Linked DNA regions of Macaca fascicularis. The protein of the gene in region 1 binds, or shares a complex with, the protein of each later gene. Links are inferred from orthologs where the notes say so. Each region holds a gene or a part of one and is shown on either strand. Other genes may lie near its edges.

Region 1 (3,043 bases):
AAGGCAGAGATTGGGAGCTGTGTCTAAGCCAAGGAACCCAAAGGTGCCAGCAGCTGCCAGAAGCTGGGAGAGCAGACCCTTCCCCAGAGCCTGGGGAGAAACCCACCCTGCTGGCACCTGTGGCCCCCAGAGCTGTGGGACGATCCGTGGTCCTTTGTCACGGCAGCCCCAGTGGGGCAGTGCAACAGGTGTGGGAACAGCGGCAGTGTCTCCAGCAGCACTTGTAAGTAAACCTGTATTATCGCTGTGGCTCCGTCACACCAGGTGGAGTGAATGTCATGACGGGGGACTGACTCCAGTCGCATCAGAGACCGCTCCCAAAGGCTCTCCAAGGTGCTCAAAGGCAGGGAGTGGTGCGGTACACATTGGCGCTGAGTCTCTGAGGGCCCAGCAGGAGCTGCAACCTGTCAGGGCCAACCTGTACCACAAACTGCCCTGGAGACGCCTTCTCTCGCCACAGGAGGTCTGCGTCAGGGCTGGGGCCCTCTGGGCACCTCAGCCGCGTTTCTGTGTGCATCTCCCCCTGCGCTGGGCCTCCCCCCGCCCCTCCTAGCTGTGCCCAGCTCATCTCCACCTGTGAGAGCAGAAGATGTAAGCGCAGTCTCCAGCCCCCGGACTCCACGCACAGGGCGGCTCAGCCCCTGTCCTCACAGAGAAAGTTCTTTCTCCCAGCTCTGCTGGGGCTCAGCTACAGATTCCAACAGGTGGCTCAGAAACCAGTGCCTCAGCAGAGCCAGAGTGCAATCTGGCAGCAGAATCTAAAACTGGAAAACGGGGGAAAAATAGGCAAAACAAATACAGATAAATTTGTTTTTAATAAAGGAGTTAATTTTCTTTCAATCCTATATAAAACAATAGCAATTAAAAACTTCATTTTTGAAAGTAAAATATTTACATATGAACAAGTAACTGTGCAAAATTTACATGAAAAAATGGAAAGACAGGGATTTCCTAAAAGACAAAATAAAAGGTGTAACAGTTCTCAGGTGTTGATAAAAAATACTGATCAGCGTTCAGTTCACACGCGCTTGAATTAAAGTCTAATGTGAGAATTCACACGGAGAAAGCCGGAGTATTTACAGTCATAAAAGTACTATCAATAGACAATTTCATACAATAACCTCTGAAAATAGAAAGAACCAATTAGTATATTTGTAATAAAAAAATAGGTACAAAGAAGGGGCTTTGCTCTGGACGTCTGTAAAGTCGGCCCAAGGCTTGCATACAGTCTCTTAGCAAAATAATTATAGTTTACATAGCCATTTCTATGTCATGTGCCAAAAGTTATGTACAATTACTGACAAAATACACCAACCATTTTTCAACACTTGATTCACACCGAGAAACAGTCTTTTGATGATTCTTCTCAACTTTGATTTTATTTAATCTAGGTTTTCACTTTTAGCTAAAAAACACAGTGCAAGTAAAATATATTTATGCTGAAAAGGTTTTCATCTCTTTTAACTTTACAGCTTTACAAACTATAGCAAATAAAATGCATTTGTACAGATGCTGACCACACATTCAGAAGGAGCCCACCTTTGCTGGGCCCCGCCTCTACCAAGCAGAAATTCGATTACACTCTGAGGTGGGGGTGCTACGATGAATTGTATATTCCTCCAGGATTCTCAGCGGAGCGGAGGGGAAGGGAGACGAGGGGAGGGCTGGGGGGAGAGGGGAGGGCTGGGGGAGAGGGGAGGCGGGGGGGGGAAGAGGGGAGACGGGGAGAGGGGAGGGGAGAAGAGGGAAGGGGAGAAGAGGGGAGGGGGAGAGGGGAGGGGAGAAGAGGGAAGGGGGAGAAGAGGGAAGGGGGAGAAGAGGGAAGGGGGAGAAGAGGGAAGGGGAGAAGAGGGGAGGGAGGAGAGGGGAGGGGAGCGGGGAAGAGAGGAGGGTGGGGAGAGAGGAGGGTGGGGAGAGAGGAGGATGAGGGAGAGAGGAGGGTGAGGGGGAGAGGAGGGTAGGGGGAGAGGGGAGGGGAAGGAAGATAAATAGTCTAAAAAATCAGTTTGCTTTGCTAACTGACTATTACAAAAATAAAATAAAATGAGGTCATCGGCTGTAGACATACACCTACACAGTAAGTTAGGTAGAACTAAACCAAAATGCACAAATAATGCAGAAACTGCTATGAGTTGACAGAGGGCAGCTAATTATTTGCTAACGATTCCATCAGTCTTTATATATGGCTTGTTTGGCAAGAAGGCCACTCAATCAAGATGAGTTAAGATTTAATTGTCCTTTAAGAGTATCCACAGGCCTTTGTGTTCTCTCTGTTACAGACACGTATTTTCTTTCACACTGAAGAGTTGATTTAGAAACAGGAAAATATAAAACTGTTCCATCGTAAAGAGGTGGCTGTTTTTTAAACAATATCCCATTTGCTTGTTACAAAAAGGCGTAATCTGCAAATATATAAAAAGTCCCCAGGCGTCCTCCTGTGTCACTTAAGGAATGCTTTGTAGAGCAGCAGTGAATGGCTTGTCTCACGTTCATTTTCTAAACAAAATATGAGGTCCCTGAGGTTGACCCGCGTGATTCTTTGTCGCGTGAACTGTCTGGGGGCTCCGACCCCCGAGCTGCCTGGGACCACCGAGCCGGGGCCCGACCCCTGGTGACAAAAACGGAGAAGACAGGGTGTTAGTGGGGCCCAGAGTGGGGCTTGAAATGGGGGCCTGTGTGTCTGAACCAAGTACCCCGATTCCAGAGGAGGCCAGGCCTGGCATGGGCTCCCTCCGGTAGGCCCACAGCTGGAGCTGAGGTGCTGTCCCAGGGCCCTGCCAGGGCAGGGGCAAGGGCAGGAGGCCTCATGCTGCGCCTTCAGGACAGGGCACACTCAGACACTGCCCAATGCCCCACAGTGCTCAGACCTGCTCCTGGGGCTGAGGATGGACCAGGGGGTGGCACCCACCCAAGGCAAATGTCTGAGCGGCCCCAGGGCCACCCTCCATGCAACCACAGCTGGACTGCATGTGGACTCAGCTGGGGTACAAAAGCCACACTGGGTCCCTGTGTGTCATCCTGCTTGGCTGCTGAATTCCCGCAC
Region 2 (4,423 bases), on another chromosome or scaffold:
TGGATACATGCTCAGAAGAGACCGCCCATCTCAGAGCTGCAGAACAGCCTCAGAGGAAGAAAAATAAAGTCCCAGGGGTTAGCACAACGAGGCTCTGCCAGGGAGATGGCAGCATGACTGAATACTGGTACCTCACCACTCCGGGGGAGGGGGCGGGGGTCACGGGCCAGCGCACCCCCTGCGCCCTGGCTGCAATGCAGGCTCTCAGGCCTCGCCGTGGCCTGGCGCTGGTGCCGTGGGAGAACGCCCTGACCGCAGCCTGGCCAGGCCCCCTGTGCACCAAGCCCAAGCCCAAGCCCCATGCCCTTCCTCTCCTGGCTCTGTCTCCTCTAACAGCTGAGTCAGAATCTGCATTTTCACCAGCTCCCCAGGTGGTCTGTGTGCACATTAGTTCGGAAAGTATTGTTTTAGAAGACAGGCCTCTCCACTTCTAGCCTGGTTTCTTCCAAAACCAAATAAATGTTTTTGTTCCCCAGGTATTGTGTTCTGTGTATGTTCCACAGTGCCGCAGGGAAGGCAGTGCAGACAGTGTAGTTAAGAGTACAGGCTCTGAAGTCAAACTGGTCCATCCAAAGCCAACTGCCAAGGGCTGTCGGGAAAATGTCCTGAGATACGCGAAGATATGCCAGCAAGGCTCTGCGCCTCCTTAGCTGCTAACATAGAGATAATTGCTGGGATGGTGAAGGGAAGAGCCCTTTGAGGCACTGATATGTAAGTGGAAAGATCGATCCTGGGCCATGATTTTGGGGGAGAGCACTCTAGGTAGAAGAAATATAAAATGATCAAGGGAGGTAACAGATGAGATCTCATTGCTCAACACTTCTAAGGCAGCCTTAACTGAAGTAAAAGCCACTGAGGCCAGTGTGAGGCGCTCTGTGCTTCCAAAGCTCGCTCTGGTTATGGTGTGTGGAATGGGGGAATAGGGTGCAGGGGGAATAACGAACAAGGAGGCTCCCAAAGTGGTCAAGGCAAGAAGTAAACATCAGCCGGGACTACGGCTGTAAGAAGTAGTTTGTTCTGGATGTACTGTGAGGAGACAGCTGATAAACTGGATCAGGAACTTAGTGGAACAAGGAACTAAGGAGTAAGTCAAGAGGACACTAAGAGGCAGATAGGACAGGGAGGTGGCTGGACATGGATGGCTGTTGCTAGGGAGGAGCTCTGGGCCCAGGACCAAGTCAGTACCACACTTTAAGCTCCCTGAATGGAGGGATAAAAGCTTCTCTTTCCTTCAGAGTCCTCCGCCACTGTAGAATCTGCACGGAACACAAGCTCAGTGCATATCCACAAACAGCATGGAAGGACAAGATGGGCCAGAGTTTCTGAAAAATGGCGATCCCAATGCTGGTGGCCATTAGGTAAGGATTTGTAAAGGACCATCTTCTCTAAGGAGCTGGGAGGAGAATCAAGATTCCAGGGCTTCAGAATGGGTATATGAGGCGGTCCTGAGACTCTTTCAGGAAAGGAAAGCAAAAGGCAATCAAAGCAGCCCAGGCAGGACTGCTGGAGACGTGGCAGCAGATGGACGCTGTTCCGAGAAGCAGGCACCTGGTGTAGCAGGGGAAGACTCTGCAAAGCTAAGGGCGCTGGGGTGTCTCACTCCCCTCCTTCTCAGGGTGCCTGGGGATGGCCACATGCCTTTGGTGGTTATGAGTGGGAATACGGCTAGAGATTTTCTCCTTTCTAACACGGATGCAAGCTTCCAGAATGAAAGGAGAGCTGAGAAACCGCCCAGAGAGAACAACCATGTTCCTCTCTCAAGGACAGAACCTAGCACACGATGTTGCTAGCGTAAGTGGATCCAGTCCAGCTCTCACCGCTCCCCACACAGAGCTGTCTCTACAAAAACCTCAAACGTAAAGAGAGCAAAACCCAAGCCCCAGGCCTCCCAGGCCAGGCCTCTTTGTTCATTCTTTACTGACCACTCGCACAATGTCGTGGGTTGTGGAGACCCAAGCATTAACCAGGCACGCTACCCACAAAGAATCTGTGCACTGGCACACCACACAGGGCACATGCATACAATGACAGAAAGCAAACGGGGCCGCCCCAGAGACCCCGAGACAAGCCGCAGGGCGCCCACCGTTCTCCCTCCCTGGTGCTCCCACCGCTTTCTGTCGAGTCTGTGGGCCTGCCTGACTCCACGAACTCAGGTAAGGCACCGCGTCTCGCCCAACGTCTGCACTCCGCAAACGCCTGTGAAGGTGTCCCTGAAGGTGAGGGAAATGGCTCTGCTGTCAGAAACCAGCGTTCAAAGCCCCACTTGGCCCCGTCTCGGCTTTGTGACCTTGGGCGCGTCACAGCCTCTCTGAGCATAGGTTCCGACAGGTGCCCGACTATAAACCGGCAGCGTCGCCCTCCCCACCTCCGGGGCCTTCCGGGGTGCCGAGCGGAGCGAGCAGGTCCAGTGCTGCCTGCGCGCCCGATACAGGAGAGGCGCGGGCCTTCCTGTGCCCTAGCCGGGACCCGGCCCCTGTCGCGCTGCTCACCCAGTTTCCGAAGCCGAACTGCTCGATGGCGTCCAGCAGCAGCTGCTCCTCGCGACTGGTCCAGCCGCCCTCGGCCTCGGGCCCCCAGAGCGTGAAGCGCCCGCCGTCCACCAGCTGGTAGCCGTGGTAGCGGCGGTGGTGGCCGATCTCGGCGCCGGCCGAAAAGCACTCGGGGCACAGCTCGATGTCCTGGCACTCGGTGCAGCGGAAGCGCAGCGGGCTCACCTCGGCCAGGCAGTACACGCAGTACTTCTTCCCCAGCTCCGCCATCTTCCCCTGCTCGCCGCCCGCCGCCCGGCCCGCCGCAGCCGCCGCGCCCCCGGCCGTCAGCGCCCCGCCACCCGCGGGACCCGCCGCCGCCGCCGCGCACAAGCAACCGCCGCCCGTCGCCGCGGCTGCCGCCACCGCGGCCCCAGCCCAGCAGCCGCCGGAGCCAGCCAGCCGGGCCGCGTCCCGCCTCAGTACGCAGGCGCCGTCCGGCCCGGCCCGGCAGCCGCCACCGCGGCCGCTGTCGCCCCGCCGCATCGCGCAGGCGCCCCGCGGGCGCCACCTTGCGGACGCCCGGCCCACCGCTCTGCGCCTGCGCGCACCCCGCGCCGGCCGCCGCCGCCTTTCCCAGAGCCTCCTGAACGCCCCGCCCCAGGCCCAGCGGTGGGAAATGGGCAGGCAGAAAGCCCGGCGGGGACGCCACGCCCCTCGCGGCGAGAGCCCACGGCCGCTTCCAATCAATCTCGCCTATCGCCAGCTCGCGGCCTCCCATTGGCTTGCTCTCCGGGGAGAAGAGGCTGGACGACGGCCTGTCGCCTGGCCAATCGCCGGGCCCAGCGCGCGCGCCCTCGGTTGCCCCGGGAAACCTAACAGCATGCTGCCGGGGTCCGCTGCGCTGGCAGAGCCGGGCGGAGATGGAGGGCGGGTCTGAGCACACTAAGGACCCCGGCGGGGAAGGCGGAGACGGGGAAAGCCTGGCCGCGCGGCCGTCCAAGATCAAGGCCAGCTCCGGCCCTCCGACCCCTCCCGAACCCGGGGAGCTGGAGTCGGAGCCAGAGGAGGAGGAGGAGGAGGAGGAGGAGGAAGAGGAGGCTTCGCAGGGAGGCACAGCCGCGGACGAGCAGGCCAAGGCCCCGAAAGAGCTAACGGCAGCCGAGGCTGCGGGCGAGGAGGGGCCTGGAGAGCCGGGGAGGCCGGCCAAGCCCCAGCCCGAACCCGAAGAGCCGGCCGAGGCCGGGGCTGAGGAGCCCGTCCAGCCGAAGTCCGGAGCCGGGCCCGAGGAACTAGATGCGGAGGCGAGGGCGGAGGAGCTGGAGCAGGCGGCGGAGGGCAAGGAAGTCCGGTCCCAGGCCTCTCTGCCGCTGACCAGGATCGGCGAGGAAGAGGCTGCTGCAGCCCCGGAGGCCGAGACAGAGCGGGTGGAGGGGGAGGAGGAGGACGAGGAGGAGACACGGAGAGACAGCGCGGAGAGCGAGGGGAGGGCTGGGGAAGGACGCCCGGCCAAAAGCCAGGAAGAGGGGAAGCCCCTCGGTGGAAGGGACGAGTTTGAGGACCTGGAGTGGTCCGAGGAGGTCCAGAAGCTACAGGAGCAGCAGCTGCGCAGCGACCTCCTGGACCAGTACCGTTCCCTGCTGATGGAGCGGAACCGCTCCCAGCGCTACAACCTGTACCTGCAGCACAAGATCTTCGAGGCGCTGCGCAAAAAGAAGGGCCTGGAGGCGGCGGAGGTGCCTGACCGGGGCGCACAAGCAGAGGCCCCCGAGAAAGAGCAAGCGTACCTGCGCCATCTGGGCATGCTGGAGGACCTGAAGAAGCAGCAGGCAGACGACCTGCAGTGGTACCACCAGGAGCTGGGCCAGTTGAAGCAGCAGTGCCAGGAGAAGCTCTCAAGAGTGGAGAAGGAGTGGCGGCGCTTCCAGGCACTCAAGAAGCAGGTGGTGATGCAG

The links.
Region 2: TAF4 (region 1) and TADA2B share a complex: the UniProt entries of both Homo sapiens proteins name them as parts of the TFTC-HAT complex. The link is inferred for Macaca fascicularis from reciprocal best matches to the Homo sapiens genes TAF4 and TADA2B.

The regions. Positions count from the first base shown.
Region 1 is NC_088384.1:118,023,341-118,026,383, forward strand, and holds the end of TAF4 (transcription initiation factor TFIID subunit 4), read right to left. Parts: intron 2,609-3,043; coding exon 2,441-2,608; 3' UTR 799-2,440; downstream 1-798. UniProt on the Homo sapiens protein: The TFIID basal transcription factor complex plays a major role in the initiation of RNA polymerase II (Pol II)-dependent transcription.
Region 2 is NC_088379.1:6,047,106-6,051,528, forward strand, and holds the start of TADA2B (transcriptional adapter 2-beta), read right to left. Parts: upstream 3,016-4,423; 5' UTR 3,015-3,015; coding exon 2,490-3,014; intron 1-2,489. Other genes in the region: CFAP184 (cilia- and flagella-associated protein 184), read left to right, coding at 3,392-4,423. UniProt on the Homo sapiens protein: Coactivates PAX5-dependent transcription together with either SMARCA4 or GCN5L2.